4 linked regions of the Notamacropus eugenii genome follow. The protein of the gene in region 4 purifies or fractionates together with the protein of the main gene of each other region. This does not show direct contact. Links are inferred from orthologs where the notes say so. Each region holds a gene or a part of one and is shown on either strand. Other genes may lie near its edges.

The links.
Region 1: the proteins of FBL (region 4) and DDX24 purify together in Homo sapiens (affinity purification with mass spectrometry; 3 studies listed by BioGRID and IntAct, with this or other methods). This does not show direct contact. The link is inferred for Notamacropus eugenii from reciprocal best matches to the Homo sapiens genes FBL and DDX24.
Region 2: the proteins of FBL (region 4) and NOP56 purify together in Homo sapiens (affinity purification with mass spectrometry; 6 studies listed by BioGRID and IntAct, counting the BioPlex papers as one, with this or other methods). This does not show direct contact. The link is inferred for Notamacropus eugenii from reciprocal best matches to the Homo sapiens genes FBL and NOP56.
Region 3: the proteins of FBL (region 4) and RRP9 purify together in Homo sapiens (affinity purification with mass spectrometry; 3 studies listed by BioGRID and IntAct, counting the BioPlex papers as one, with this or other methods). This does not show direct contact. The link is inferred for Notamacropus eugenii from reciprocal best matches to the Homo sapiens genes FBL and RRP9.

The regions. Positions count from the first base shown.
Region 1 is NC_092878.1:35,535,591-35,543,340, reverse strand, and holds the start of DDX24 (ATP-dependent RNA helicase DDX24), read right to left. Parts: upstream 3,011-7,750; 5' UTR 2,900-3,010; coding exon 2,872-2,899; intron 1-2,871. UniProt on the Homo sapiens protein: ATP-dependent RNA helicase that plays a role in various aspects of RNA metabolism including pre-mRNA splicing and is thereby involved in different biological processes such as cell cycle regulation or innate immunity.
Region 2 is NC_092877.1:46,627,991-46,635,730, reverse strand, and holds the start of NOP56 (nucleolar protein 56), read left to right. Parts: upstream 1-4,727; 5' UTR 4,728-5,241; coding exon 5,242-5,244; intron 5,245-5,632; coding exon 5,633-5,722; intron 5,723-6,100; coding exon 6,101-6,215; intron 6,216-6,290; coding exon 6,291-6,452; intron 6,453-6,596; coding exon 6,597-6,795; intron 6,796-6,866; exon of another isoform or gene 6,867-7,005; intron 7,006-7,108; coding exon 7,109-7,296; intron 7,297-7,386; coding exon 7,387-7,538; intron 7,539-7,697; coding exon 7,698-7,740. UniProt on the Homo sapiens protein: Involved in the early to middle stages of 60S ribosomal subunit biogenesis. Required for the biogenesis of box C/D snoRNAs such U3, U8 and U14 snoRNAs. Part of the small subunit (SSU) processome, first precursor of the small eukaryotic ribosomal subunit.
Region 3 is NC_092872.1:3,026,395-3,033,796, reverse strand, and holds the start of RRP9 (U3 small nucleolar RNA-interacting protein 2), read right to left. Parts: upstream 3,012-7,402; 5' UTR 2,774-3,011; coding exon 2,699-2,773; intron 2,465-2,698; coding exon 2,370-2,464; intron 1-2,369. UniProt on the Homo sapiens protein: Component of a nucleolar small nuclear ribonucleoprotein particle (snoRNP) thought to participate in the processing and modification of pre-ribosomal RNA (pre-rRNA).
Region 4 is NC_092876.1:32,316,221-32,324,106, forward strand, and holds the start of FBL (rRNA 2'-O-methyltransferase fibrillarin), read right to left. Parts: upstream 3,017-7,886; 5' UTR 2,892-3,016; coding exon 2,882-2,891; intron 2,091-2,881; coding exon 1,938-2,090; intron 1,837-1,937; coding exon 1,720-1,836; intron 1,545-1,719; coding exon 1,450-1,544; intron 976-1,449; coding exon 805-975; intron 486-804; coding exon 353-485; intron 1-352.

The sequences.
Region 1 (7,750 bases), on a different chromosome or scaffold from region 4:
GAGACAGAAGAAAATAAGGAGGAACATGACTGTCGGAGACCGAGTGAGCAGGAAAATGGGAGAATAGCAAAGTCATCTGTGAAGGCAGAACAAGGGTTAAGGGGGGGCTTAACACTTAACATCTCCCTGACTCAGTATCTTCATATACACATGATGGAGTTGGCCTAGATGGGATCTTCAAACTCTACATTCCATGATAAACTCCAGTAAGTAGCCTGGACAGAAGGGAGGTGTTGACTGCAGCCAGATACGGCTGGAAAGCTAAAGGTAAAGTTTCAAGGTTCAGAAGGCACCCTGGAGAAATGTGAGTGGAGGTACACAAGTAACAGCCTGGGACAGTAGAATTAATGTTATTTTGCCATGGAATTCTTTGGCAATCTGGTGAAACCTACGAACCCCTACTTAGAATGTCTTTAAATGCAGAAAATAAAATGCATTGGGTCATTTTTTTAAAAAGTCCAGTTATGTTAAAATTGTTAAAATAATGACATTCAGAAAAGCATTTCAAGGTTTGCAAAATGCTAAGTTGACTGTCAACAAACATTTATTTAGCACCTATTATATGCCAAGCACAGTGTACTAAATCCTGGGGATATAAATAGGAAAAAAGAAAGGAGCCACAATCTAATATTTTGGAGGGCTTTCTGTGGTTTTTTTAAACAGATATCTCAATTTTATTCTCACAATCACCCAGGGAGATAGGTAGTATTCAATTAGCTCCATTTTACAGAAGAGGAAACAAAGGAAAACAGAATGTTAACTGACTTGCCTGGGGTCATACTGCTTAAATGTGAATTTGAAGTCTTACAAAACTCCAGGCCTAATGTACTGCCTAAAAGACACCTCAGAAGCCAAGATTACAAAGTAAACTAATTAAATTGAAACGTGATTCTCAAAATATTTCTGATCAAAAAGTTCATGGCTCCAGATTGGTGCCTTCCTTCTGATCATTTCCAATATCTTTCTTATTTATCATAGATATATTTGTACCTAGTTATTTGAATGTTAACTAACTGACTATAAGTGGAAACAGGTGGTCCAGTACCAAATATGGCCTCAGACACTTACTAGCTATATGACCTTGAGGAAGTCACTTAACCCTGTTTACCTCAGTTTCCTCACCTGTAAAAATGATCTGAAGAAGAAAATGAGAAACCACTCTAGTATCTCTGCTAAGAAAACGCCAAATGGGGTCACGAAGAGTCAGGCATGACTGAACAACAACAAATAATAGTCTATGGGATCCTTAAGGGCAGGGTCTTTCTCTTTTCTTTGTATCGCCAATGCTCAGCAGGCGGTCTGGCTGGTTCACTAACAAGACACTCCTCTTATCATTTTCTCAGGCTGTCCTCTATGCCTGGAATATTCTCCCCTATTACAACTACTGACACACCCCATCCCTTTTCCTTGAAGTCTCAAATAAAATCCCAAGTCCTACAGGAAGCCTTTCCCAAACCATCTTAATTCCAGTGCTTTCCCTCTTATTTCCTCTGTATCTTGTTTTATATATTTCTTTGCATACTGTCTCTCCCATTAGATTGACCTGGATGACACTTCAGAATAATGCTCTTAAATGCATAAAAAACAGGATTGCAAACTCATTAAATTGCAATATAAATTCATTTCTGAATACAGACTGAATGAAGTATAATTTTCACCTTATTTTCCTTGCTTTCTTTTGCAACATGGCTAATGTGGAAACGTTTAGCATGCTTGCACATGCACAGCTGCTAATCCTGTTTAGCATGCTTGCACATGCACAGCTGCTCATCATACTTAGCATGCTTGCACATGCACAGCTGCTCATCGTACTTAGCATGATTGCACATGCACAGCTGCTAATCCTGTTTAGCAGGCTTGCACATGCACAGCTGCTCATCATACTTAGCATGACTGCACATGCTCAGCTGCTAATCATACTTAGCATGCTTGCACATGCACAGCTGCTAACCATGTTTAGCATGACTGCACATGCTCAGCTGCTAATCATACTTAGCATGACTGCACATGCACAGCTGCTAATCACGTTTAGCATGCTTGCACATGCACAGCTGCTCATCATACTTAGCATGCTTGCACATGCACAGCTGCTCATCATACTTAGCATGCGTGCACATGCACAGCTGCTCATCATACTTAGCATGCGTGCACATGCACAGCTGCTCATCATACTTAGCATGCGTGCACATGCACAGCTGCTCATCATACTTAGCATGCGTGCACATGCACAGCTGCTCATCATACTTAGCATGCGTGCACATGCACAGCTGCTCATCATACTTAGCATGCGTGCACATATGCACAGCTGCTAACCATACTACTTGCTGTCTCCATGCGTGTGGAGAACTCGGAACGCGGCGGAGGAAATGCCTGCTTTGAAAAGCGGACACGCCCACCCTCCGTGGGGGCAGGGGCTCTCCCGCCTCTTCTTACACGCGAAGGGTTCGGCCCGGTGCCTGGCACACAGGACAGACTTCCTAAGCGTTTCACGACTGGCCGGCACGCGGTGGGCGCCTAGTAACCGTTTCCGGACGGACTGAAGGACCGTAACTCACTTTCTCCTCCCTACGCAAAATGGAAGGGGAGGCTCCAAGGCCCAGGAGAGAGCGGGTCTGGAGCTGATGTCCGAGGTCCCCTCGGTGCGGGCCGCGCGCCGCTCGGACCGCGCCGGAGCCACGCACGGAGCCAGGCCCGGAGGCCCGGCGGCGCGGCTCGGGGCGGGCCTCCTTCCTTCCAGCCCCTTTCTCTCCCTCCCTCCCTCCCGTCCTTCCCTCCATCTCTCAGTACCCCTAACGCAGCCCGCGCCCGTCCCGGACCGGACTTCACGAGGAGGCGGGGAGGAGGAGGAAGGTGGAGGATCCGGGAACTCACCGCGTGAAGGTGTCCGCGCCGCCGCCATGGCTCCCGCTGCCGCCTCTTCCGCAAACCCACACCACGTGCGTGTCTCTCATGGGGGCGGCCATGACAGCACGAAGCCCCGCCCCTCCAAACCCGGCGCAACGTTATTGGCAGCTGGTCCAGCGGCTCCGCCAATCCTGAATCAGGACTCGAGATGAAGAGCTGGCCGGGCCCGCCCCCTTCCCATTCCGGCTTCACTCTGCCTCTGAAGTTGGTGGAGTGGAGTCAGGTTCGCAGGCATTCACTAAGCGCTTACCATTGTCCAAGTCCTGCTATCGTAAGAAAGTCACTTTGGCCGCTGTGTGGAGGAGGGAGAGCAGTCGGGGAGAAGCTTGAGGCGGGGGGGCTAATGAGGAAAGGATTGCTGTACCCCCGAACAGGGGGACAGGGGTCTAAACCCAGGTAGTGGCTGTGGGAATGAGGACAGGTAATCCCTTTAGGAAGCTTTGTCTCAGGATGGAGAGCCGTCAGGCTGGGTAGCTGGAAGTAGTGGTGGGGTGTAGTGAAGGGTTTTCTGTGTGGTTTTTTAAGGATGAGAGAAACTTGGGTCTATTGGTAGATTTGGGGGGAAAGAAACAGTAGAGAGATTGGAGAGAGAGGATGGGGGCAGTCTCCTGGAGAAACAAGAGGAGATGGTCTGGAGAAGATGCCAGAGAGCCTGGGAATGTGGGTTGTATCCAGGGAGTGTGCTGGTCATGTTTAACAACCAGCTCTCTGAAAAAAAACACACATCCAACACATTCTTAAGTTTAATTAACTTTATGGGATTAACTCTGAATTATTAACAGTTTTCTGTATCACTTTAAGTCTAGAAAATCTGCAGAACAATAAGTGGAGCCCCAACTTGTACCATTTTTCAGTGCTACCCGTATAAGGCTCACACTGAAAAATCTTCACTGGTTCTGCAGAGACTGAATGAGCTGGCTGTATCACACCACGGACTCTTGTATCTATCCATTAGAGATTAAATTATACTAAATAGAATGTTAAATTTAAAATACTAATTATCATGTATAAATTTCATTATGTTAGAAATTAAAACTGACATTTTAAAATAAGTACTGATTCATTTTAAAATAGCAATAACATGTTAACATGAATAACATTTTTATGAAAACTCTTCCAAAACAAAAAATTTAGCGGTATTGTTTTACTTATTTTTGTGAATCTCTTTAATATCTGGCTTAATAGACAACAGAGTCTCAATCTGAATTCAGTAGGTCTCAATATGTTATTTTGGTTAAAGCACAGGAAGAAAATCCAGCATCACACAGATATGTAACTGGAAAATGGAGTAGCATTTTAATCGGTAAGCAGCATTTTAATATTATAAAAATAAGTTTGGTCTGGGCCCCCCCTATGGAATCTCAGGGACCCCAGACCACCCTTTGAGAACCACTGTCTTAAAGCATTCGTTTCATAAGGTCACCACTCCCCTGCTCTGTAAACTCCATTAGCTTCCTGTTACCTCAAGGATCAAATAAACACTTTTTTTTTAACACTTAAAGATTTTTCTTCAAAATTGTTCAAATGACACTTTCTCTATGAATCTTTTCCTACTCTCCTCCTCTACCTATTCGTCACCCCCCTCCAAAAAAAAAAAATCTTGTATTTATTTTGTGTATGCTTACTTATGTATATGTTATCTCCTCTGATAGAAAGTCAGTTCCCTGAGATCAGAGATTGTATCCTCAGTTCCTAGCATAGTGTCTGGTACATACATTTTATAAATACTTGCTGATTAATTGATTGAAGAAGACATTGACAGATAAGTAATAAGAGCTTACATATTTGAATTCAACAAAATCTCCCAGTCCACATCTTCTGGCAAGACAAACCAGGGCTTGGTCTCATCCTCCTATTGATTGTCATCTGCTCTAAGAAACATCATGGTGAATGTAGAGAAAGCAAGTCCTGCAGTTCAACCGGTATCAGTTGTGTCCTTTATTTCATGCTCTTAAGGGAATGAATTTTGGAGATAGCCAAGAGGAATATTGGAGATGGTCACCCTAGGTCCAGAAACTGGAGTCCATTCCAAAGTTTGCCTGAAGCCAAGCCTTTTTGGCCTCTTGCATAGGCTGCCAAGTTGCCACTTCATCAAGGAATGAATAGCTCATCAAATATCTATGCTGCGTTCAGAAGTCAACTAAAAGGGGTCAATGCTTTGTAACAACTGATTTAAATTTGAACCCATTTTCTTAAGGGACCAAGGTAGGGGAGTGAAGGCTTCCTGTAGAGATAGTTCCTGAGTTGATTGTGAAGGAAGGTAAGGATTCAGAAAGGCAGCATAGAGGAGGGAGTACATTCTAGGCTACTTAAAAAAACAAAAAGCCTTTCTTTAAAAAGATTAGCACCAGTCATGTGTATCTGGACCTAGCATTCCATCATTCTGTTCCATCATTCTGTCTTGAAACATTTATTAGCAAATCCATTAGCGTGGTATCTCTGCTATAGTCAAGAGATGAAGATTTTTTTGAATCTAGAGAAGGTATCTCATTTTTTCCCCCAACTATTCAGAGAATCCTGGGAAAGGTTCAAAAGTCACAAACAGTTGAAAATAAATGACTTGGAAGATAATACTAACAGCTCCTATTTCTACTTGCTCTAAGGTTTAAACAGTGCTTTCCTCACAAAACCTTCTCCTCCCAAAAACACAGTGTGTTGTGGGCTGGCACCAAGGATTCAATCAGGAGTCCTAGAAATTCAGTCTGGAGACCTGAGTTGAATTCCCAATCTGTTCTTTTCAGCAAGTCACTAGATATCAATGAGCCTCACCTTATTCAGCTGTAAAATAAGAGAATTGGAGTAATAAATGATTTATCAGGTTCCCTTCAGGTATAAGTTTTATAATCCTTTGAACTTTTATCATTATATGTATTTTATTGATGAAATATTTGTAACTCTTGAAACATTTCTCACTATCTGGGCAGTTGGAGGGATTATACACACACACACACACACACACACACACAGAGCACAGGGTGAGTTGAATAGAAAGGTATCATATCTAAAAAAACAAAATTAAGGGGTGAGAGAGAAATATATTGGGAGACGAAAGGGAGAAATGGAATGGGGCAAATTATCTCTCATAGAAGAGGCAAGAAAAAGCTTTTCCAATGGAGGGGAAAAAGGGGGAGGTGAGAGGGAAAAATTGAAGCTTACTCTCATCACATTTGGCTCAAGGAAGGAATAACATGCGCTCTCAATTTGATATGAAAATCTATCTTACACTACAGGAAAGTAAGGGAGAAGGGGATAAGCAGGGTGGGAGGGATGATGGAAGGGAAGGCAATGGGAGGAGGGAGCAATTAGAACTTAACACTCTTGGGGAGGGACAAGGTCAAAAGAGAGTATAGAAGAAATGGGGGGCAGGATAGGACGGAGGGAAATATAGTTAGTCTTACACAGCATGACTATTATGGAAGTCATTTGCAAAACTACACATATATAGCCTATATTGAATTGCTGGCCTTCTCAGTGGGAATGGGTGGGGAGGGAGGAAGGAAGAGTAGTTGGAACTCAAAGTTTTAGAAACAACTGTTGAGAATTGTTGTTGCATACAATTGGGAAATAAGACATACAGGTAATGGGGTATAGAACTTTACTTGCCCCACAGGACAAGAGAGAACATGAGGATAAGGGAAGGAGGGGTGTTAGAAGGGAGGGCACATTGGTGGAAGGGGCAATCAGAATGCAAGGTGTTTTGGGGTGAGAGGAGGGGAGAGATGGGGAGAAAATTTGGAACTCAAAATTTTGTGAAAATAAAGGTTGAAAACAAATAAAAAAAATAATTCTGTCTCTGTATTTAAGTTTTGGCCTCTGATTATTGTTGAATTTCCTTTCAAGAGAATGAAAGGGCAAAGGCAGCATATTGTGAAAAGAATACTGGATGTGGAGTCAGCAGACCTTTAAGTCTAAATTCTGCGACATAATAGTCCAGAAAATTTGAATACATTATAAACTCTCCTACCCCCAGTTATTTGTTTTTAAATCTGTAAAACTGGAATAATATTAGAACTAGCAGATTCACACTGTTGTTATGAAGGAAGCATTTTTTAAAACCTGAAATTACTGCAGAAATATGAACTATTTTTAAAGCAGGAAACATTTTTATTAATAAAGAATTTACATTTTGATAGCATTTCAATGCCCACATGGGCAAGGATGGTTCCCTGGAGGATAACTCTGGGCTAATGCTACAGTTTATTTCAAGGACAGGATGAGAGAAACAGAAAGAAGTAAAGAGAAAGACTGGTATGAGAGAAGGTATGAAATTTTGAATGTCTAACAGGAGCCTCTGGGGCTGCAGGCATATGGGGAAAGCTGACCCTCCAGCATGTCCCATAATTCTCAGCACCTGTACCCCCAAAGACTATTAAGAATAAAATTCTTGGGTGAGATCATTTTCTTTTGTTTAACCTGAGATTTCATCTCACTCCCAAAGAGAGAAGCCCATTAATTCACGTGTTTTGATGTCTGATCTAATAGGAATGGCATCCTCAATTTCTGTTTTACTACTTACATTGATAAATATGTATGTTCAATATTGATCTTTTTGTGTGTAATAAGCCACTGGTGGGAGGGAGGTAAGCAGTCCAAGAGTACACCGTTGCCCTCATTTTAGAGTAGCCAGAGAAAATGGCTTTTATCTTGAACCCCTAAAGGATCATTGTACCCCAAGACTGCAAATATCTGATGTTTAGTAGACATAATTCTAACCCATTACCCTTAATGATAAGCAAATGGAGGGGTGATTGTCCAGCCACAGCTGAAAATCCTCAGGGTAGCCCAGATCCTAGATTAGCTGACATGCATATAAGCAAATCGCTGTAACACAGATTATCATCATAGG
Region 2 (7,740 bases), on a different chromosome or scaffold from region 4:
GTCCCAAAATGTGTCTCATTTTGCATACTGAATCCTTGGTCTCCGTCAGGAAGCATCTTCCAGAATCACAATTCTAGCAGTTGGTCAGAATTCTTAAGTCTTTAAAATCCACTCATTTTTACATGAATTGTCTTGGTCCTGCTCCATTCATATAAGTCTCCCCAGGTTTCTCTGAAATCCCTTCCATCATTCCCCATAGCACAGGACTGTTGTATGACCTTCATCTACCATAATTTGTTCAGCCATTTCCCAGTTGATGAGTACCCTCCACCCCCCCCACCCCTCACACCTTGTTTCCAGCTCTTTGTCATCACAAAAAGAGCTGCTAGAAATATTCTTGTACATATAGGACCTTTTCCTCTTTTATTAAAAGATCATTTTAGGGGTTAAGTCTATTAAAAATTAACAAGGGCTATTTTTACCATTGGGTTGCACTGATGAAGTTTAGTCAGCAGACTAATGTGCTTGATTTAAATAAAATCATGTAGCAATTGCACTTTGCAAATTGCATTTTAACCAGCAATTTTTTTCCTGCCAAAGGATTTAAGACCTTGGAGTGTATAACAAATCTGACCCATCTACTTCACCATTAAGATCCCCTTCAAAAGGCTTATAATGGTTGTGAGCTTTCCCCTGATAAGGCTAGGGGAAAGAGGGCCTTTACTTCTCAGGTCAGGGATTGAGAAAATGCCAGTTCCTTCTCAGTCCCTTTCATGATGTGGCTGTCCTTCCCATCTTATATAGTTTGTACTGTATAAATAATGGCTGAGGGAATGGATGATTCTTTGCAGATTAAGGAGACACTGCCCACGATTTCCAGTCTGTCTTCATATAATCTGTCCTATGGCAACCCTCCCTCAATTATTCTGGCTCTTTTGGCACATGCAGAGGTCATAGGATCCCAATATTATAGGCACCATAGCGGGAAAGGAATGATTTGGGGGCTTATGCTGTAATCCCTGGGGAGAAGGGGCCTACCTTCCTTGCTACCACTGACTAGTGACCAACTGTTACCAATGAGTGGGTAAGCCCAGGAACCCTAAGTCCTCCCCTAGAGCACTGATCCTGCTTCCCACCTGGCCGTGAAGCCATCCATCATCCTGGCAAACAATCCCTATAGAGGTAGGATGTGGTAAATGCTTCTGCCGCTTAAAGTCTGATCTGCGGCCCCTTCTACTAAACACCCAGAAAAGAAAGCTCTCAATACTAAAGTCCTTGACATTGTCAAGTTGTTCAAAATCAGAATACAGGGATGATTATATCCATTTAAATCCATTAAAGAAGATGCATTACCAACTTCTTTGCCAATGGACCTTTCTATAGGACCTGAACCAGAAGCTTCCATTAGAATGTGTGCTCCCTGGGAGCAGAAACTGTCTTTTCTATTTGTATCTCCAATGTTTTGCACACAATAAAACCTTAACAAATGCTTTATTATTAACCCATTCATTAGGTTATAGTGATCCTCGATGTCTACAATTTTAGTCATCTTTTCTTCCTGGGATCTTATATTTGGCCTTAAACCCCTGAGAAGCTGTGCAGAATGAGAGGTCTGCCTACCTCCCTTCCTGGGCAGCTTGGCTGTGTTGGTAGTAGTGTAATGGAAAGAACACTGATCCTGGTCAAGGGACCTGAATTTGAATCCAGATTCTGTTACTAACTGGGTGACTTATGGCATGTGAAGGGGTTAGACCAGATGACCTCTATGGTCCGTTCCAGGTCTAGATCTAGATACTAAATTCCACCTTTATTTACTATTTCGGTGATGCTGGTTAAGTCACTTTACCACTCCCTGTTGCTTCATCTATTCAAAAAAATGATAATAATGCTTATAATACCCATTTCATAGAGTTGTGGGGAAGAAAGTACTTTGCAAGCCTTAGGGACCTATAGAAATGGAAGCTGTTACTCTTACAGTCAGGCCCAGTTCTTCCTCTAAACATCACTGCCACATCTACTAAGTACTTCATGGACATTTCAAACTGAATATCTCCAATGTAATACATCCCAAACTGAACCTATTTCCCCTCTTCCAAACTTTCCTGTTTTTGTTGAAGGCATCACCATCCTCCCAGTCTCCCAGGTTCATAATCTCAGCATTATCCTCCACTTCTCAGACTCCCTTACCTCACATCCCAATCAGCTGCTAAATCTTGCCATCTTTTACATCCCAGCCCTTCTCTCTTCTCACATAGCCATCACCTTGGCTCACTCTCATCATCTCTTGTGTAGACTTTTGCAACAACCTCTCACAGTTTGGTCTCCCTGCTTCAAGACTCTCACTGTTACAGTCTATCCCACACAGCTGCCAAAGTGATTTTCTTTAAAGCTCAGACTTGATCATGTTACTCCCTTGTTTAACCAACTCCAGTTGCTCTCTACCACAATAACTAGTGTTTAACTATTTTTATTCTCCTTATATTTCTTCTGTATGTACTTTTAAATATTCTTATCTTCCCAATTAGACTGTATAAACATCTTTTTGTGTATGCACTGTTTCATTCTTTGTACTAGATTTACTGTGCACCTAGCCCAGTGCCTGGAACAAAGTAGGTGCTTAATAAATGCTTGGAGATTGACTGTTCCTGAGACATACATAAGTGGCTGCCCATCTGACGAACAGTGTAATTTCATCATTACTGAATTCTCACTTACATTAATAACCACCCTTCTATCCAAACAGTTTTACAACAGTCTTTTTCTAGAATTCAGCTGTTAGGCCTGACTTTTTAGGGCCCTACCTAAAGAGTTCATTATAACATGCTATCTGGTTACTAATAGGAAGGAAAGCATTAAACAGGGAGCTATGGCCTCATCAAAAGTATTTGCCATTGCCATGGAGGATGACTAGCACAGAATATAAATTGAAGAGGGTTTTCCATTACAGGATCATGGAGATAAAACTGAAAGAAACTTAGAAGTCATCTAATCCAACCTTGCCATTTTACAGATAAGAAAGCCAAGGCCAAAAATTACCCAAGAAGTAAGTATCAAAGTATAATAAGGCTTTCCAGATATTTCCATTTGCAAATAACATTGTGGATGAATAAAACTCTTGAACAGCAAAGAAACCTCCTAAATAAATAAGATCCATAATCAATCAAAAGTGAGGGATCATCCTTGCCTTCTCATTCTTAACTTCCCACATACGCAGTAAGTTATCTAATATCCAAATTTGTTGTTTCTCCTCAACATCCCTCCTATCTACAACCAATTAACGTGGAAAAAAATCTGTCCTATGTTCTATTTCATACTAATGGACAGCTCACCTCTGCATAGAAGCAGGTGTAGGTGATTTCTTCATACTGGCACAGAACAGCCATTACCCCAGTCCAGGACGGGGGAACCTGTGGCCTCCAGCCCTCAGCTGCCCCCGTCCAAGTCTGAACTATTGCAACATTCTCCAGCATGGCCTCTCTACCTCAAGTTCCTTTTCACTAGAATCATCTTCCATACACAAGCAAAGTCATTTTCCTAAAGCATATGCCTGACTCTGTCACCACTCTACTCAATACAGTGGCTCCCTATTACTTTTAGGATCAAATATAAACTCCTTTCAACATTACTCTTCTCCACACTCTCTGTGGTCCAGTAATTTAGGCCTTCTTGTTAAATAAGACACACACACACACACACACTCCACACCGGTACCCTTTCCCTCATCTCCCTTCTGCCCCTTTGCACTTTACATCCCTTTCTAACATGTTTTCTTTTCAACTCTGGCTCTTGGAAACCTTGGTTTCCTTTAAGACTCGTCTCCAGTACTAGTTTCTAACAGAAGATGTAACTGGTTCCCTCAGTTGCTGTGTCTTCCCCTCAAAGGTTAACCAGCATTTGCTTTGTATGTGTATGTAGTTGTACACTTTGCTTTTTATTTTTAAAAATCTTAATTTATTTTCATAAATTCCGGGAACAAAACAAACACTTCCATAACACGGTAAATAAAAAAGATGACTGCACATGAAACTGCAAATCTGCTTTGCTCTTGCCGCTAAACGTACAACAGTTCTCATATAAACAATTTTTTTTCCTTTCCTCCCTCATCAGGCGGTGGAGCCGAACCCCCAAAGCCCCAAGGCCACGTCCCTGGAGGTAGCCCAGCCCCGCCTCAGTAATTCCCTGGGTCGAGGACAGATGCAGGGGCGCCTGGCCCAAGGATTTCCGTCCCTGGCATGAGCCCCAAGGACCACGCTCGGGCATCGCTTCCGTCCTGTCCTTCGACACGGCGCTCTGAGGCCTGCCACCACGCGTGGCATTCCTTTTCCCACAGGATTCCTATCAGGCCGCACGTTCCCCAAAGGCACTTGGGCTTCTCTAAGACTCACAACACACCTTGGCCGCTCCTAGCCCTTATCTCCCCACCTGGGTAAGGCTGCCATCAGACACAAACACACTGCTTTTCCTTCTGGAAAGCAGGGGCTGTTTCGGTCCGGCCTTGGCACAAGCATCCCTGGCCTGGCACAGGAGGCGCTCAATAAATGGACCGTCCGGCTTGTGCTCCGCGGGGACCTGCCGCCACGTGTCCCGCGGCCACCGAGCGCGGGCTCGCTGGGCTGGGCCGGCAGCCCTGGGGAAACGGGGCCGTCCAGCGTCTCCCTGAGGCAAGTCTGGACAACGCTAGTGGGCAGAGCGACGTGGGAACACTACTGCAGGTCAGTCCCTGCCAGGCGGTGACCTTCGGAAGGAGGCGGGGAAAATATGCGACCGGAAACGGAAGCAGGCCGGCTATGCGTAAGGGGCGCGAGGGTAAACGTACGGACAGTTCACGCACGCCAACAGGTTATCGCGAGAACTGGAGTTAGACTTGCTCTGCCCCGTTCCTCCTTCCCGCGGTAAAGGCTGGTGGTGCTTGAGCCTGCGAGCATGGGTGTTGACCTCTCCCGTAGGTGGACGTGGCTCAGAGACCCATCAGTTATCTCATTTTCTAATACCTATTAGATTGATCGCAGCTACGCTCCCCCAAGGGCCGCTGGTCTGCGAAAGCTCCGCCCCACTCCCACCAGCGCCGCTGGAAAGGCGGGAAGCAGCGCGCACGCGGAGGCCGCGGTGGCGCCTATGACCCTTCCTTACTTCCGGGCGAGGCCATTTTCTTCAGTTTCCCCCTTGGTCTCCTTAATTAATGGTGCCTTCCTCGGGTTCTGAGTGGAGGCTTCCATCCGGAAGAGGCGGGGCTAGTGAGGCTAGGGTTCCTGCGTGTCCGGCGGGAGGCCCGCATTGCGATTGGGGCTTCAGACTGCCGCCATGGTGAGCTGGGTGGGGGCCATGGGGCAGGGGTCGAGGGTCGCCGTGCGGTGCAGCTGGGGGGTGGAGGGAGTCATCCGGCCGGTGGAACTAGAGCCTACTTAGCTATCACGGGTGTGAGGTGGGGAGCAGCCCGGCAGAGGCCAAGGGGCCGCCGAACCTTGGGCCGCGTGCGTGCGGCCTTTCTGTGGGCTGGGGCTGGGCGCTCCCCGCCGGACAGCAGGGCAGCGTAATGCTCGCGGAGCATGGGGCCCTGGGACCTCCCGGAGGGCCTTCGGGGATCGGCCTGTGGGAGCTGGGCGGGCAGCGGGGAGGTGGGCCATGTGCTCGGGCCGGGCCTGAGCAGGTGGGTTTCGCGAACCCCCTTCATTTCTCCCTGGGTCTCTCCTAGGTGCTGCTGCACGTGCTGTTCGAGCACGCCGCCGGCTACGCGTTGCTGGCGCTGAAGGAGGTGGAGGAGATTAGCCTGCTGCTGCCTCAGGTGAGGCCGGCGAGAGAAGCAGGGGCGGGCCGGGGTCCCCACCCCCAACCCAGCCCCGGGGCAGCAGCGGCCGCCGAGCTGTGATGAGCATTAAAATCTGTCAATCCCCTGAGCAGAGTGATGTCGCCTAGTCTCTGAGCACGGTGTCTGCCCCGGTCCGCGGGAGGGAAGGCCACGTGCTCAGCCTCGTCTTAGATCTAAAACCTAGCCTTTGTTTGCATTTCTTGGGGCGGAAAGGGGAAGCCAGCATGGAAAGGGAGCCGTGTGCCCCAGGGCGCACGTTTAGTATCCGCTTTTCCCTGGAAATGGGAAATCGGGCCTGCCCTTAACCCCGACCCCCCCAACTGTAGCGGCCCTACACACTCTTTCCCTCCACAGGTGGAGGCATGTGTGCTGAACATTGGGAAGTTTCACAGTATCGTCCGGCTTGTGGCCTTTTCCCCATTTAAGTCCGCCCACAGTGCTCTAGAGAATGCTAATGCAGTATCTGAAGGTGAGTGGTCTCACCTCTTTTCTGTGATCTTTTGTGTGTCCCCTGTGCCCTTCTAACCTATGCTCTTATCCACAGGCATTCTCCATGAGGACCTCCGGCTTTTCTTGGAAACCAACATGCCGGCTAAGAAGAAGAAAGCTTTGCTGGGTGTTGGGGATCCTAAGATTGGGGCTGCTATCCAAGAGGAATTGGGCTACCCCTGCCAGACAGGTGGTGTAGTGGCAGAAATCCTTAGAGGTAAGATTTCAGGTGAATCACGTGGAAGTCATGTGCCTTGATATGGTAGTTGATTGGGTACCAGATCCTATTCAGGTCCTGTGCTCTGAAGGACATTAAAAGGGTTCTGCTTGGTAGTTTCTTATTCTGCCTGTTTTCTCCCAGGAGTTCGTCTGCATTTTCATTCTCTGGTGAAAGGTCTGACTGAAGTTTCAGCTTCTAAAGCCCAACTGGGACTAGGGCACAGCTACTCTCGGGCCAAGGTCAAATTCAATGTGAATAGGGTGGACAACATGATCATCCAGTCTATCAGCCTTCTTGACCAGCTGGACAAAGACATAAACACCTTCTCTATGCGGGTCAGGTCAGCTCCAGGGTTTGGTGGGGCAGATGTTTAAGCAGGGGCTGGATTTTGGACTGTTCCTCCAGCCCTACCACCTCCTGTTGCTTACCACAGACTGTGTTGTACTTTGCACAGACTGTATAGAAAAAGGAGGCAGAGAGATCTTCCTCTTATACACCTCAGCCAGGAGCTTGCCTGTGCTCTAGCTGTATTGTGAAAGGGGAGACAGTAAAGACTTGGGAATCCAGAGTATTGGGTTTGGGGCTGTGGGTGAGGTGTGGTTTTTCTGGACTACTACCTTTTCTTTCTGTTTAAGATCATCTCTTTTTTTCAGGGAGTGGTATGGCTATCACTTTCCTGAGCTTGTAAAGATTGTTAGTGACAACGCCACATATTGTCGCCTGGCCCGGCTTATTGGCAATCGCAAAGAACTGAATGAGGAGAAACTAGAAGCTCTGCAGGAGCTGACAATGGATGAAGCCAAGGCCAGGGCCATCCTGGATGCATCTCGGTCTTCTATGGGTCAGTGTTTCTGGTTGAGGTCTTTGTGGGTCAATTGGGGGAGAAGAGGATATTCTGTTGTGCACTAATTTGCCTCCTTGTTTTTCCCAGGCATGGACATCTCTCCCATTGACCTGATCAATATTGAGAGTTTTTCAAGTCGAGTGGTATCTTTATCTGAGTATCGTCAGAGTTTGAACAAATATCTGAGCTCTAAGATGTTCCAGGTGGCCCCCAGCCTGTCAGCACTCATCGGGGAGTCGGTCAGTCATTGGGGTGTGTGCTAGGGGGGGACTATTGCCTTACAGCTATTGTCACTTTCGTAGCTCCACCTAGCTGCCTGTTTTCTCCTTGGAGTTAGAGTGGGTTTGGTGGGATCAAGAATACTCTTGACCACAACCTTTTTTTTTCTCCCCTTCCAGGTGGGTGCCCGACTGATTTCCCATGCTGGGAGCCTTACCAATC
Region 3 (7,402 bases), on a different chromosome or scaffold from region 4:
GAGTTCAAATTTGGCCTCAGGCCTCAATTTCCTCAAATGTAAAATGGGGCTAATACCAGCCCCTCCCTCTCAGAGGAGTGTGAGGATGAAATGAGATGATATTTGTAAAACACTTATGCTTATTCCTTGGATCCTCCCTACGCTGGGTTCTGGGCACCATGAGGAAGGACACTGATAAGCTGAAGGGTATCCAGAAGGAGACCAGGGCAGTAGAGAGGCTCAGATCCATGTCCTATAGAAGGATCAAGTGAAAGAACTGAAGGTGTTTAACCCAGAAAAGACTCAAGGGAGATGTAAAGGTGGAAGAGGGATCAGACTTGTTCTGTTTGGACCCCCCCAGATGGACCACAGACTCAGACTGAGCGCTGGAAGAGACCAACGCCTCCATTTTACAGGTGAGGAAACTGAGGACCACAAAATCACAGAGCTGGTGAGTGTTTCTGAGGTGGAAGTCAGTCCTGGTCATCCTAACTCCAAGCCCAGAACTTGTACCATTAAACCACACTGCTTCTGGGTCTCCCTGCTTCCAATTTCTCTCCAGTCTATCTGACTATGGTTAAAACTCTGACCATGCCACTCCCCTGCTCAAGACCCTTTTGTAGCTCCCCATTGCCTTCACAATGAAAAACAACCTGTGTCCGGCATTTAGAGCCCTGTACACTCTGGCCCCCCACAGCCTCTCAGTTCTTATCACTTCCCATCTCAGCTGCCCCACTGTTTAGGGCCATTTCACAGGACAGGTATCCACTCATTCCCTCTGTGCCTTCACCGAGGTCGTCCTCCATGCCTGAAAGGCTCTTTCCTTCTCTCTGCTTTTTGGATCAGGGACTACTTCCTCCTGACTCCTTGCCTGGCCGAAGACTTCAGAGAGGCCTGGAGGGACTTCTATGCACTGATGCTGAGTGAAAGGAGCAGAACCAGGAGAGCCTTGTACACAGTAACAACTACTGTGTGTGAGGAATTTTTCTGGTAGACTTAGCCTTTCACAGCAATGCAAGGCCCTAAAAAATTTCCAATGGACTCTTGAGACAAAATGCCATCCACATCCAGAGAAAGAACTATGGAGTTGGAAAGCAGAATATTTTCTCTTATGTTATGTTTTTTCTCATGGTTTCTCCCATTCATTTTAATTTTTCTACACACGATGACTAATGTGAAAATGCGTTTAATAAGAACGTGTGTGTAGAACCCATATAAGACTGTACAATGTCTCAGGGAAGAAGCGGGGAGGGAGGGGGAGAAAATTAAGACATGGAAGTGATTGTAGAAAACTGAAAAAAATAAGTTAATAATAATAATTTAAAAACAAAACGAAACCAAAAAAGTGAGCTCCTTGAGGGGAGAGGTTGTTCCATGTCCATCTCTGCACCTCAGTTACTGAGCCCAGAACAGAAACTCCCTAACCAGTGCGATCCTGGGCAAGTCGCTTCCCCCTTGTGTAAGGAAGGGCTGAACCTGGTTCATGGTTAGCAAACATGCCAGCCAACAACATCCAGTACGCATTTACTCTGCCTAAGGGCAAAAGCGCTGTCCCTGCCCTCAGTTCTAACCTGTGCCTAGAGACACAGGCAGTGCAGATGGAGAGTCATCCTGGAGGGGAATAAAAGCCAGGAGTGTGCAGGGCATGCCAAGGCACAAGCAGGCAGGGGCAGGTGGCACAGCGCTTTAAGGCCCAGCTGAGGATGGATGGGCATTCTACATTTCACCCTGGCAGTGACAGGAGCCCTCAGGGTCCCGATGGGGGCGGGAGGAGGGCACACAAAGGACGGGTCGGACTTTGACAGGAACCCCTGGCAGCTAAGCAGGGGAGGAGCCCGGGCAGAAGGCTGCTGGGATAACGGGGGCACAAGGGACAGGAGGCTACACGGAGGGTGCTGCCAGGCAGAGATGGGGGAAGCCCCGGGGGATGGCGGTGGGGAAAGCCTGGGAGGGGAGACCCTGGGGAACGGTGGAAGGGCTCCGGACACGCCGAGCCCGAGGTCCAGCAGCTTCCCTTGGGAGAAGCCGAGGGAGGGTCGGGAGAGTCCTCCGCCAAGGCCCAGATGCTGAAGCGGGACGGCGCAGGGAGAGGAGTGGGCTCGGGGCCTGGCACGCGCGGCCCCGGGACGGCCCAGCGGGTGCCAGGGGCGGGGGGCACAGAGACAAGAACCAAGGGTTCGTGCCCTCAAGGAGCCAGCTCCGAGCCCCCTCCAGCCTCAGGACCCTCCTCTCCAGGAGCTCGCGTGGGCAGGGGCGGGGACCCAGGACGTTCCCTCCCTGCCCCTGACCCCGGCGGCCCCCCCGCTCCCGGGACTTCTGCCGGGGGGTCGGGGGAAGGAGGGGGTGCACCAGGCCTCCGCCCCCGGCCCGGCCCGGCCCGGCCCACGCACCTCTCCGGCTCCGAGTCGCTGGAAATCTCCTCGTTCGGCTTGGCTCTCTTCTTGGGGCCTCCCTTGGGCTGGGCCTTCTCCCCCTCCGCGTCGGGCTGCCAAGAAGAGGGCCCCGTCCCCCGTCAGAGGCCGTGCCCGCGGGCAGCCGCAGGCTGGCACCCCCCAGGGAGGGAGAAGGTGGCAAAGCGGGGGCCCAGCAGGGCAGAGCCGAGGCCCAGGACCGCACTCCCAGGGGACCCAGGGGACCCAGGGGAGGGGAAGGAGCCCGGCCTGGACCCCCCCGCTGGGGCGAGAGACACCGCCTCTCCCGGGAAAGGGCACGGCCTCACCTTCCGCCGCCGCTTCCCCGCACCCGGGCCCGGCGGCTTCCCCCGCTTTCCCGAGACCACCGCAGCAGCCGACATGTCGCCTCCACACTTCAGCCTGAAAAGCCCGCAGCTCACGTGGTGGCTGACCGGGAAGGCTGAGCCACGCCCCCTCTACACCGATAGGATCTTGCCTTCTGGCCCCGCCTCTCCTCTCCCCTCATAGGACCCAGCTACAGCTATGGCCACGCCCCTGGATCTCTCATAGGTCAAGAGGGGGGGTATGGCCGCAGCCCTTAAGGGGGAGGGCTCTTCTACTGCCTGCGGAAGATGTAATAGGAAGTTCGTCGTGACCGCTTCCTGCTCCGGGGGCTACTGCGCATGCCCCCGACTGGAGGAGTCTGGGAAGGGAAGGGGAGGGGGAGTGAGAGGAGCAAGCCTGCTGTGCTTCCGAGGAGCAGCTTCTAGAGGGCGCTCGAGATACACCCTGGGGGAGGGAGGGGGCGCCCGGCACTTGGTGGGGTAGAGCGGGCCGTGCCAGTGGGTACTGGCGGGCCTGCGTTGAGCACAGAGGCTCCTGGAGAGAGCGGTGGTGCCAGCTGGGCACGAGAAAGGAGCCTGGGCTTGACTAGCGTGTGTCCAGCAGGCACGGAGAGCGTGACTGAGCCTGGCAGGGCCGGCTGGGTGCCCAGGCATGCCCACCAGACAGGGACCCCTTGGTGACGAGGGGAGCCTGGGGCTGTTGGCAGTGCCAACTGGACACTGGGGTTCCCGAGCATGCGCACCAGACAGGGACCCCCTGGTGACGAGGAGAGCCTGGGGCTGTTGGCAGTGCCAGCCGGGCACTAGGAATGGCACCTGGGAGCGATGCCACCCCCACCAGGGCAGCACACCTCACCCAGACACATGTACACTTCAGTGTGCCCTAATCACCCTCCTCTTCCTTGAGGGCAGGAAGCAACAATAAAAAGGGTGTGCCAGTCTCTGAAGGTCCTCCCTTGTCCCAAAGGGCATGTTGATAACCAGGGCCAACCCATTGTTGAGGGCCCAGCCGGGCTCTGCCCTTCCCTCTTGGCCTCCCCAGCATCTGGGCTGCTTGGGTTGCCTGTTGCCCCGGCAGCCTGGTGGCCCCTCCTACTGCCTGAAATGCATACTGAGGTCACCCTGGGACTGGGGGGGGGCAGGTCTGGGGGAGGAGAAGCAGCTGCTGAAGACCAGCCCTAGTGTTGCCCTGCCTCAAAGCCCCTGCAAGAACTGGCTGCCCAGAGGTGAGTGCCAACAACCCCACCACAAGGTGCCTGAAACTAGGGCTGGCAAGAGCTGGAGGTTGTTGGAAGAGGGGAGGGTCTCAGATACCTGGCTCTAGGGCAAAGACTCTGGAGGAGTGTTACCCTGAAGGGTGGGGAGAGGCAAGGGATAATGGACACAGCCCTGGACCAAAGAGCTAGGAATGACTTCCGGGGTCTAGGTTGGTATGACTGTCATGCCCACCCTCTCTCAGGATCCTTCCATCCTCTGTGCTTGAGCCCTCTGCCATTCTGATCTGAGCCCCCACCACCACCACTACAAAAGCTACCTCCCCCCAGGCTTACTCCCCTGCCCCCTACACCCCCCCACCTTCTTCCTGCCCCATCCCATCTAGTGACTCAGCCCCAGGACTGTGCCAAGCCTGGGGGAGCTGAGCATTCCTGGAATTGATAGAAAAAGGGAGAAGGCTATGTGGGCCAGGCCTAGATATCTTGGGAAGGAGTTTGTGAACTGGGAAACAGAGATAAAAAATTCTTTCCATGGGTGAGGCTAGTCAGGTGTGGGGGAAGAAGGGAAGCCTCTTCCCTCCAGATAGGAGCCCCCTTTTCTTTACAAGTGCTGTCTTCCTCCTACCCAGTTCCCTTTAACCCCTCAGGGGCTAGATTGCATGGTCCAGAGTTCTTTTGAGGCCCAGTGGTTGGTGCTACACCAGAAACAGCATCCCCAGGGAGGTAAAGACATGAGTTCACCCTAAGGTTAACCCTTCCTGGCCCACAGACAGAAAGGTGTGACTGTGGTTCTCAAGTTTATGGTTTTCATTCATAAAATAAGTACTTATGAAGCATCTGCTATTCCCCATGCTTGGTGCCTGGGAAAATCCCAAGATGGTCTCATGGTGCTCACTTCCTAATAGGAAGCCCTGTCCATGAAACTCTGGCCTTCCCTTTGCTGGTCTCTAACCCTAGAGGACTGAATCTATGTCGAAGATACAGCTTAGGAGAGTGACTGGGGCTTTGTCACAAGGGCATGAGCATGGCTGGAGGAGATGGTATTTCTCCTGACTGACGCATCTCAGACATGACTGATCCCAGGCCTCCAGCCTAGAGGTTTCTCCCCACCCTTTGTTATATGCAGTGGCTCCCATCCCTTGCCCAATCCCTAGCTAGGATCCTGTTGGATATTGGAGTGGCAAGTGTAGAAAGGAAGGGATCAGACCACCATAAAAGCTGTCTAGACTGTTATTCCCGAGGTGGCTGTGATCTACGTATTCAGCCTAATGTGGACCTCTCTCTCCACTTGGATACATACCCTCTTGCTTTGACAATTCAAGCTCAACAAAAAGGGAACCCATAATGTTCCTCCCTACACTTCCCCCTCATCTGACCTTCCTTATTTCTAGACAGGGTACTACTGTCTTTCCAGTAATCTAAGTTTGAACCTTAAAGTCATCCTCATTTCTTCTTCTCCCCAGCTCCCAGCTCTCCCCTCCCTACTCCAGTCAGCTGCCAAGTCTTGTTGGTTCCACCGGTCTACCTGCTCCCTTCTTTCCCCTCACAAGGCGGCTCTGCCAGCCTAGGCCTTGATCACCTCTCACCAGGGCAATTGCCGCAGCCTCCTAATTGGCTCCTCTGTTTCTGTTTTCTCCCTGCTCCAAACCATCCTCACACAGCCAAACTAATCTTAAAGCGCACGTCTGACTGTGTCATTCTGTTTAAAAACCTTCTGTGGCTCCCTATTATTACTCCTAAAATCAAATGCAGAATTCTTGGCACCACGTTCAAAGCCCTTCCCAGCCTACTCTTGGCAGGAGGCAGTAGGGTCATGTGGCAAAGCTGTGGCTGTTGAAGTCAGAGGATCTGGATTCAAATCCCACCTCTAATTTTATTGCCCATGACCTGGGACTTAACCTCCCTAGGTTTCACCTTTTTCTGTAAAATGAGGGGACTGGACCACGTGACCTCTGAAGCCCCTTTGAAGGCTGCATCTGCATGAATTACTTGACCTCCCTGGGCCTCAGTTTTTTATCTGTAGGAGGAGAGGGTTGGACTGTATGAGGCCTGGGGCCCCTGTTAGCTCTGAACGATTATTCTGTTACAACCCTTCACACAGTCTGGTCCTGGTCAGACTGGCCACCCTGCTCTTCTTTAAACTTGATCTCCACCCCCACCTTCATACCTTTGGACATACTGGCTCCTAGGCCTAGAATGTGTTTCCTCTGCAGGGTTGGTCTGTTACAATCCATCCATCCTTCTTAGCTCAACCCATATGGCCCAGGTAACCTTCCTGAGGCTTGCAGATACTCTGATCCTCCTCCTTGTGGGGTACATTACTCCTCTCCTCAGATTTTCTTGGACTTCCTTTTCTGTGAGAATGTCCTAGCACTACCACCACCGCCACTACCACCACCATCACCACCACCACCACCATGCAGAGGGCAGGGTGTTTTTCCTTTTATGTGTCTTTATATCCCTAAGCATCCAACCCAGGATTGTAGTCGGTGCTTAATAAATGCTGATCAAATGGATGACCCTGTGCATTAAATATAAAGCATAAATCCAACCCACCATGCATTTCTTGAATCCCTTCTGTGTGCAAGGCTCTTCCCTGAATATGCATAAACCTTGCCTTCAAGGAGTTTCCAGTTGACTAGGAGCATCACTGCATGTACACAGGTACACAAGTATGGTGAGACAAAAGACTATAGGAAAGGTAGAAGGTTGGAGCAGCTAGGTGGTGTAATGGATAGAGCACCCACCCTGGAGTTGAGTTCAAATCCAGCCTCAGACCCTGAGCAAGTCACCTAACCCTGTTACCTCTAAGACAGAGAGAGAGAAAGAGAGAGAGAGAGAGAGAGAGAGAGAGAGAGAGAGAGAGAGAGAGAGAGAGAGAGAGAGAGAGAAGCTTTTAGTTGAGGCATGAGGGAGCTTCTTTGAAGAGGGGGCAGTTAGGCAGCTGGCTGCTTGAGGATTGCAGCCTGCCTCTGGGGGTTCTAGTTTTAAGATCCTGAGGCTGCAGCCATTGACTTTCAGCTTCCTTGTCTGTAGAAGGAGGTGAATGATACCTATCTCACAGGACTGCAGTGGAGAATCAAGTGAGGAAATGACGTAGAAGTGCTTTGCAAACTTTTAGATGTCAGCTACCATCATCATTCTCATCATGCCCAGGTATTATTACTATCTGCTTTGTATAGATGACAGAACTGAGCTTCAGAGACTGAACTCTAACTAGTGAATGGGAGATTGGAACTCAGATCTCCTCATCTCAAATCTTGTGCTCTTTTCAATCCAGGCTGCCTCCTTGTGAAGAGGATGCCTCTTTAATCATGATGATAATAATAATTTGTTGTTGTTCAGTCATGTCTGACTCTTTGTGACCCCGTTTGGAGTTCCTTGGCAAAGATGCTGGAGTGGTTTGCCATTTCCTTCTTCAGCTCATTTTACAGATGAGGAAACTGAGGCAGGCAGGGTTAAGTGACTTGCC
Region 4 (7,886 bases):
TGACTTAGCCGAAACCTTCTTCCGTTCCCCATGGTCCACAGGATAAAGGCCAAATTCAGAGGCCAGCTGCCTCCCAGAAATTAAAATCACACTCCTTTCTAATAAATAATAATAGCATTTACATAGCGCCTTAAAGTTTGCAAAAAGCTTGACAAAAATCTTTTTTTAAACAGCCGAGGAAATCAAGTCCCCTGCAGATTAAGTGATTTGCCCAGGGTTACACAGCTTATCTAAGGTGGCATTTGAATTCAGGACCTTCCAGCCCCAACTTGGTTGCCTTCTCTAGCCACAGCACAGATCATTTCCGCCCCACAGCCCTGTCTATGGAGGTAGGGATGCCCCAGGCCTTCACCAATGAGCATTCGGTATTTGTGGGGGTGTCGCGCATCCTCAATGACAGGAATGATGTTTGTCCTCTTCTTGGCCACGTTGATGAGGTCTCGGCCAGATCGATGAGAAAACTCAACAGCGTAGACCAGACCTTCCTGAGGGGCAGAGGAGAGCTCACTGTCCTCACCTGTCACATGATCAAGAACCCACCACCAAGCCCTTCCTCCTAAGACTCAGAGCACCTGCGACCTGGGGAGCAGCAGGAGCCATGCAAAAATCAGCAGGTATCATTCTGTGCCATACTTCCTGCCCTCAAACCCCTTTGTTCAGAGTTCAGTAGCAGGTGAAGAATCTCTTCAATGTACCTCACCGCTAGCTCTTTGGGTTTTGTATTTAAGCAGTTAGGAGGTGGCAGCAGGCCCTCCCTATTCTTATTCTATTTGTGAAAGTGGAGAAGGGTTCCCCCAGACTCACAGGGCCCACAATGTCAGAGACATGTGAGACAGTAGTGCCAGATGCTGCTCCCAAGTAGAGTACTTTGGCCCCAGGTCGGATATGGATCTGATCCACTCCACCTAGGATGGCTGCAGCCAGTTTTGATCGGAAGGGGTTCCAAGCACGGTATTCCAACTTCGCCTCACCATCCTGAAAGGGTGGAGGAAATCAAGAGTCAACTCTTCATACTCTGGCCCTCCACTACCTTCCCTATGTCCTATACCTTACTCCCTTTCCCAACATAACTTGGGATTCAGCGACAATGGTGGCCTTGCTGATCTGCGGGATGCTCCGTCTCCCAACTTTGGCATTTTCACTGGTGACATGCTCCCCCAGAACTGGAAGGCTCTCCCTACCTCCTCTATCTCCTACCTGCCCTGGCTTCCTTCAAACCTGAAATTCCATTTTCTACAAGAAGCCTTTCTCAATGCCCCTCTATACTGTCTCCCTCAGGGATCATCTCTAATTTATTCTGTACTGTATATGACTTGTTTCTATATGATAACTGCCATGTCACCTTTCCCACTAGACTGTTTTGTGAGCAAGGACTCAGTAAATACTTCATGACTGACTGAAATGGGAGCCTGTCCCACATCCCCTCCCACCACAAGGTCCCATCCTCACCTCCACAGTGATTCTCTTCTCACCATAGACTGACTCCCCGGGTACCATGTTCTTTGTGACCAGAGCATCTTCTTTCCCTCGACAAATAAAAACTCCTGAAAAAAAAAAAAAGAGGGGCCAATGTGACTCATGGGCACCCCCTTCTTCTCTACCAGGCATCCCCTGTCTCTGAAACGAGGAAAACTGGTAACAAAGAAAACAAAACTGCACAATGGCCGTTTTGCCACTTTCTTTGCTAAGAAAAGTGGCACTGGACATGTCCTCACTCACCCTCATGTCGATGAGGCTCCACAGTGACCTTCTTTCCTCCTTGGAAACCTCCTCTGCCACCCCGGCCTCGACCCCGGGGGGTGCCTCTGCCCCGACCCCCAGGGGACTGGAACCCTCCTGCGGGAGGCAAAGATTCCTTGCTGGCTGGACAGTCCAACATAGATCCCGGAGGAAGTGCTCCTTCCCTCCACCCCCGTGAGCCGGCGACCTCAACTCACCTCGGCCACCTCCTCGGCCACCGCGATCTCCAAAGCCGCCCCGGCCACGGCCCCCGAAGCCTCCTCGGCCCCCGAAGCCTCCTCGGCCCCCTCGGTCACCACCTCTGCCACGACCTCCGAACCCCCCCCGGCCCCCCCCTCGGGGGCTGAATCCTGCGGGCAAAAAAATAAGTTAGCCAGAAACTTCTTCGGCCGCTTGCCAGCTCACCCGGACCCCAGGTGACGAGGAAGCTCCACGTTCACGTTCATGGGAATGGGGGGAGGGGGACAGCCCCACAGCACGGGAGACCCTTTATCACGCCCCAAACTGCTGTCAGTGCATCTGGGAGATGAGACAGAGAAGCCCGCCGTCCCCTACGGAGGAACCCGGGAGGCCCAGGGAGGGGTGGGGGTGCTGAGGCTGGAGGCCCTTCCCTCCTCTCCCCGGAGCAGCTCCGAGGAAGGGCCCAGCCCCTCCCACCCCCGCGGTGACAGCCATCCCAGCCTGGCTCCAGGGGGAGGGTCCCGGCCCGATCGGGCAGGCCCACCAAACCCGGCCTCGGGCCTCGCGAAAGCTGCGGGCAGGACGCGGGAGTGCGCGGCTCGAGCTCCAATCCGGCCCCAGACCCTTCCCAGCTGCTACCCCAGGCTGCCTGCCTCAGTTTCCTCGCCGGTAAAACGGGGACCGTACCAGAGCCGCCCCTCCGCGCCGGGGGCGAGGAGGGCTGGAAAGCGAGAGAGCGGAGAAGGCGCCACGGTCCGCGGGCCTCCGGCTACCGGCGAGTCAACTGAGGCGCGCAAGCCCTGGCCCGGCCCCAGTCTGGGCCCGCCAGTCCTCCCCAGCCCGGCCCCAGTCTGGGCCCGCCAGTCCTCCCCAGCCCGGCCCCAGTCTGGGCCCGCCAGTCCTCCCCAGCCCGGCCCCAGTCTGGGCCCGCCAGTCCTCCCCAGCCCGGCCCCGCGCTCACCTGGCTTCATGGCACGCGGCTCGCTCTGCGCAGGAAGCGGAAGCAGCAGCGGGGTCGCCCCGCACGGCGGCCGCCAGCAGACACGCGGCCACCGGGCCTCCAACACCCCCGGTTACAGCCCGCAAGGGAAGCAAGAGGGGATTGGCGTGCCCGGCGCCGGGTTACGTACGTAAGCACGCACGCAGCACGCACGCAGGCAGGAACGCGAAAGCTCCGAGACGGGTCTTCTCTCGCCTGCGCAGTCTAGGTTTACCCGGTACCTTTCTCTTGTCCCCGCCTCCCCGGTTGTCCCTTACGTCACCTCGCAAGGGACGGTGGAATCCTGGGAAAAGTAGTCCTACGAAGTCCCAGGCCGGGGCCGCAGCATTTCCGGGATCGAGAAGGCGGGGAGGGCCACGTAGGGCGTCATGACGTCACGAGGGCGCCAGGAGGCCGGGGTGCCCTGTCGGGAAGTGTAGTTTTGAACAGATGCTTTTGTCTCCTAGGAGACGTCGAGAATGGGTCCGGAAGTGACTCGTGGCCTCGTGAAGGTGGCGGCGGCCTCCTGCCGCAGTGCCTGGGGAGGCCGCGAGGCGGCGGTTTCTCTCGCTACCTGTCTCTGTTCTTCCTCCTCTGGTTCCAGCAGGGCGGCGCTCCTCAAAGTTTGGTGAGAAACACACGTTATTCCACGATCCTCCTGGGCACCAGGCGCTGAGGAGCCGGAACGGAGGCCGGCCCTGCCCTCCGGGAGCTCCCACCTGAGGGGGAGGGGCCGCGCGGCGAAGGAAGCTGAAAGGTGGGGGGAGGGGCAGGCCCCTGGCGTCAGGTGGGAGGGGTCCGGGGAAAAGCTTGATGTCAAAAGAAAGTGTATGGTGACATATTTGCGGTATTTCTGGATCTGTCAGCTTCAGTCTGTCTAGCTATTTCATTCTGGTGGAAGTATATGAGGTGTATTTACCCAGATACCTAGTTGGAAAAGGGGCAGGTTTTTGAACAGGCAGATAGCCTCTGGGTATAAAACATGGTTTTGGCCTCATGGATCCCCCTGACCTAAGGGGTCCTGGGCAATCTTGAGGAGTCTTTTTGAGCACCACCGATGTAGGGGATGAAAGGAGATCTTGTTCAGCATATTAAAAAATAATCCATTTCTATGGTTCCGCTTTCACTCCCCCCCTTCTGAGTTATTCTATGGACTGTAATCATCTAGTTTCTTGAACATAGAAAAAATGGAGGAAAATTAAAAATTTAGTTTTTAGGAGGCAAAAATTAAACTTCTATATGGAGCACCATATGGATTTGGAATCAGCAACACTGATCTTTGTAAGTTCAAATCCGGCCTCAGACACTTCTAAGCTGGGTGACCCTGGGCAAGTCACTTCTCCCTGTTTGCCTCAGTTTCCTCATCTGTTAAATGAGCTGGAGAAGGAAATGGCAGACCCCTCCAGGATCTTTGCCAAGAAGACATCCCCCCAAAAGGAGTTACAAAGACTTCACAGCAATGACAACAAATACGGGTCTGGACAATGTGCTTTATGATATGTGTTTGGGGAGCTGTAAAAACTGGCATGCTATATCTGTATACCATATATATATATAAATACAGACAGAGGTTCAGGACCTTAGTGAAAAATTGCCAGGATTTGATCCTGCTTGGGGTCATCTGAGCTAAATAATATAGAATCTTTTAGAAAATATATTTTAATTTTTACTCCTTAATGCCTCCCCACCAAATTAAAAAGAAGAAAAAATTCTTGTAACAAATGTGCATAGTCAAGCAAAACAAATCTCCACATTGGCTGTGTTGAAAAATGTATACTGTATCTCATTGTGCATCTTGAATCCATCACCTCTGTCAGGAGGTAGGTAACCTGCTTCATCATCGGTTCTCTAGAATTGTGCTTGGTCATTGCGTTGGAGAGTAATGTGAAAGAATTATGGATTTTTTACATTTTATGAATATAGCCTGAGCTCCAAAGCCTGTTGGTATGAAACGCTCTCCTCATTGGTGAAAAATTAATGTTCTGTACTTATGTGGGGGGCAGAGTGGAACTGGTGAACCCAAGAAAGAAGAGAGGTCTGATCTTCAGTCTCTGGGTTCTGGCTTCTACCTCTGAGAAAGAAGATTGATCATTCTAACTTCTCCTAAAGTAGCTGAAGGGAGAGAAAGACTGGGAAGAAACCAGCATTCAAGGAGCTGTCAGTTTTCATTATATCGCTATCCACAGTTTTCTATACTAGAGGCTTAAAGAAATTTTTCCTCTTGGGTGATCTCTGGGGTTCTCTACTGGTTGAGCTGAGTTACCTTGTTCCCAGCAAAGCATCTTCAGTCTTTATTCTCTGATTTCTATTTTACTATCAACTTGGAAAAATGAATGTCTTTGCTATTTGTAATGTGAATGTTCATTGTGGACTTGGTGTTTGGTGGGAAGGGGGTCAAGCATTGGCTGTAAAGCTTGGACTTTCCCTATTAACTCATAGAGATTAGAAGTTTAACTTGACCTTAAAAATTGCATCTCCGAAGGCCCTATAGGTTCCCAAAGTGGGCAATACTGCCTCCTGGGGGGCACGGGAATGATTGGGGAGGTGTGTTAGTAGCCTCAGGTGCAATTGGGGGGTATTGAATAAAAATAAGGGGGTGGTGAAAGCATAAGAAAGAAGAGAAGAAAATTTTGAAAAACTGTTCATACATGTTTTATCTGTTGTGTAACAGAGTTAGTTATAGTTTACAAATAAACACACAAAATGCAAGTTACAACCAATCAGTGGTCAAGTCCACTGACAGGTCTTAACAAGCAAGTGTTGGCAGGTGAGTATGTCGCCCATTGTCTGGAAGTCCAGCATGCATTGGCAGGAATATGTGTATGTAATGACTTGTTTACAATATGATACTATACGGTTACATGAAGCAATATTGCATCATCAAAATTGCAATGCAGGAAAAACCCCACAAATTTACAACAAATTATTAAATTTAAAATGTGTCACTTAAAAATTATATTATTTTGAAATTATACAAATTTCAAAAATACCATTAAAGGGTAGATTTCCAGGGGGGCACTGAGTAATTTTGTTTAATGGGGGCTTTAGGTGAAATAAGTTGAGCAGCTTAAATAACTCTGGCTAGACTAATAACACTTAAGGGAGCAGAGAGAGAGAATTCTAGCCCAGTATTCCCCTCTCTCTTAGCAGAGCAGAATGGTCAGCCTCTGGCTCCAGTCTCTTGCAAAATACCAAGTCTCTCTTGGAGAAGGCTGAGGGGAAGAGACATGAGACATGTCTATTCTTCCCTTCCTGTGAGCCACACATGACACCCCCAGCTACATGAATTTCCCTAAATAGATCCAGAACTGAGTTTACCCCAGACAAAAGTCTGAGTCATAACTAAGCAGATTTGAGTGGTGGGAAGAAACTTGGTGAGGAAAGAACATGGAGACATGAAGTTTGTGAATGAGTGAATTGCCTTGAGTCTCTGCAAATTAGGCTCTTTGGGGAGAAAAAGGCTTGGAGGTGCTGTGTCCCCAGGCAGGAAACACTGGTTGGGAGCAGAGGTCCTCTGGGAGATGACCAAAGGTGGTGAATAAATCTGACAGTGTTTTTCTAAAACCAGAATGTTAGACTTTGGGACATAAGAAAATTTCACCTCTGAACTAGATTTCAAAAAATTAAACAGTCCAAGCACATAACTTCAGTCTCATTTACATCCTTTTCCTACCTTCTCTTATTCCCCATAAAGCACAGTTTTCCAAATTTCAGGGTCTTCCCAGTCCAGGGTCAGAAAGGGAGCCAGACACAAAGCACAAAGTGGTGGTCAACATTATTGAATATTTTTTACTTCAATTCTCACATAAAAAACATCCACTTTTTTTAATGGAAAAAAGTTCAAACCAATGTCAACAAAAATTGAGATCAATCCTGGTGAATTTGCTCAGTCTGGCAGGGATGGCATGCAGCCCTGTGATTATATAATACAGTGTGTGCACAAACAAGGTCAAATTGGTGTTGGTGCCTGTTGGACAAATTTCCATGTGGGAGTAATCTACTGCTGTGGCCATTAGCCAGTTGGCATGGGGTCAGGTGACATGGGCCTTCTAGCTGCTTGCTGCATTTCCACATGAATCGTGTGAATATGAAGTTAAATAATCTTTGTGTATAGTTTTAGAAGGGCTGTAGTATCTGTTATATTTCTCAATGACTTGGTTTTCTGAAACATCTCCAACTTAAAAATTAAAATAACTCAGGAACAATTAATCGGTTACCTTTTGAATGAATTTTAAGTTGAATGTCCCATTTTTATTTTAGTCAAACATGAGCTAAAAATTATTTGTGTAGATTGTTTTAGGAATACAACAATTTTTCCTTTAAGGGCAATGGAGGATGTCTCTGCGATATTTAAGAACCACTGAGTTTTCTGCAATAACACTGGCATACTTCTTGGCATTAAGTACATAGCTAATAAATGCCAGATGAGCTAGCATATGTAAAAGTGCTTTGTGAACCTATAAACTCTATTATTATTACTGATTATCTGTCCTTTCCAGGGCATAGACAAGGTAGTCCCCATCTTACCACTGTTTTCCAGAATGATTTCCACTCAGCTATCAAAGTATAAATTTGACTATGAACGCCCCTACTCAGTAAACAGCAGGGGGTCCCTATTGCTTCCAGGACCCAATGTAAACTCTTAGGTTTAGCTTTGTAAATCCTGCATATCCTAGTCCATTACTGCTCCAGTCTTTTCACTCTCCTCCTCCACAAACTGTATTCTGAGGTTCACTGACACTAGCTTTCTTCCCATTCCTCAAAGAAGACACTCCATCTTCAGACTCCAGGCATTTTCCTTATCTGTACCTCATGCCTGGAGTTGTCTCACCCCACATCTCCATTTCCTGTCTTCCCTTACTTGCTTCAGGTTCCAGTTAAAAGCCAATCTACAAGAAACCTTTCTCAATCCTCCTTAATGTTAATGCCTTCCCTCTGAGATTAACTCCAGTTTATCCTGTATGTATCTTGTACATATGTAGTTATT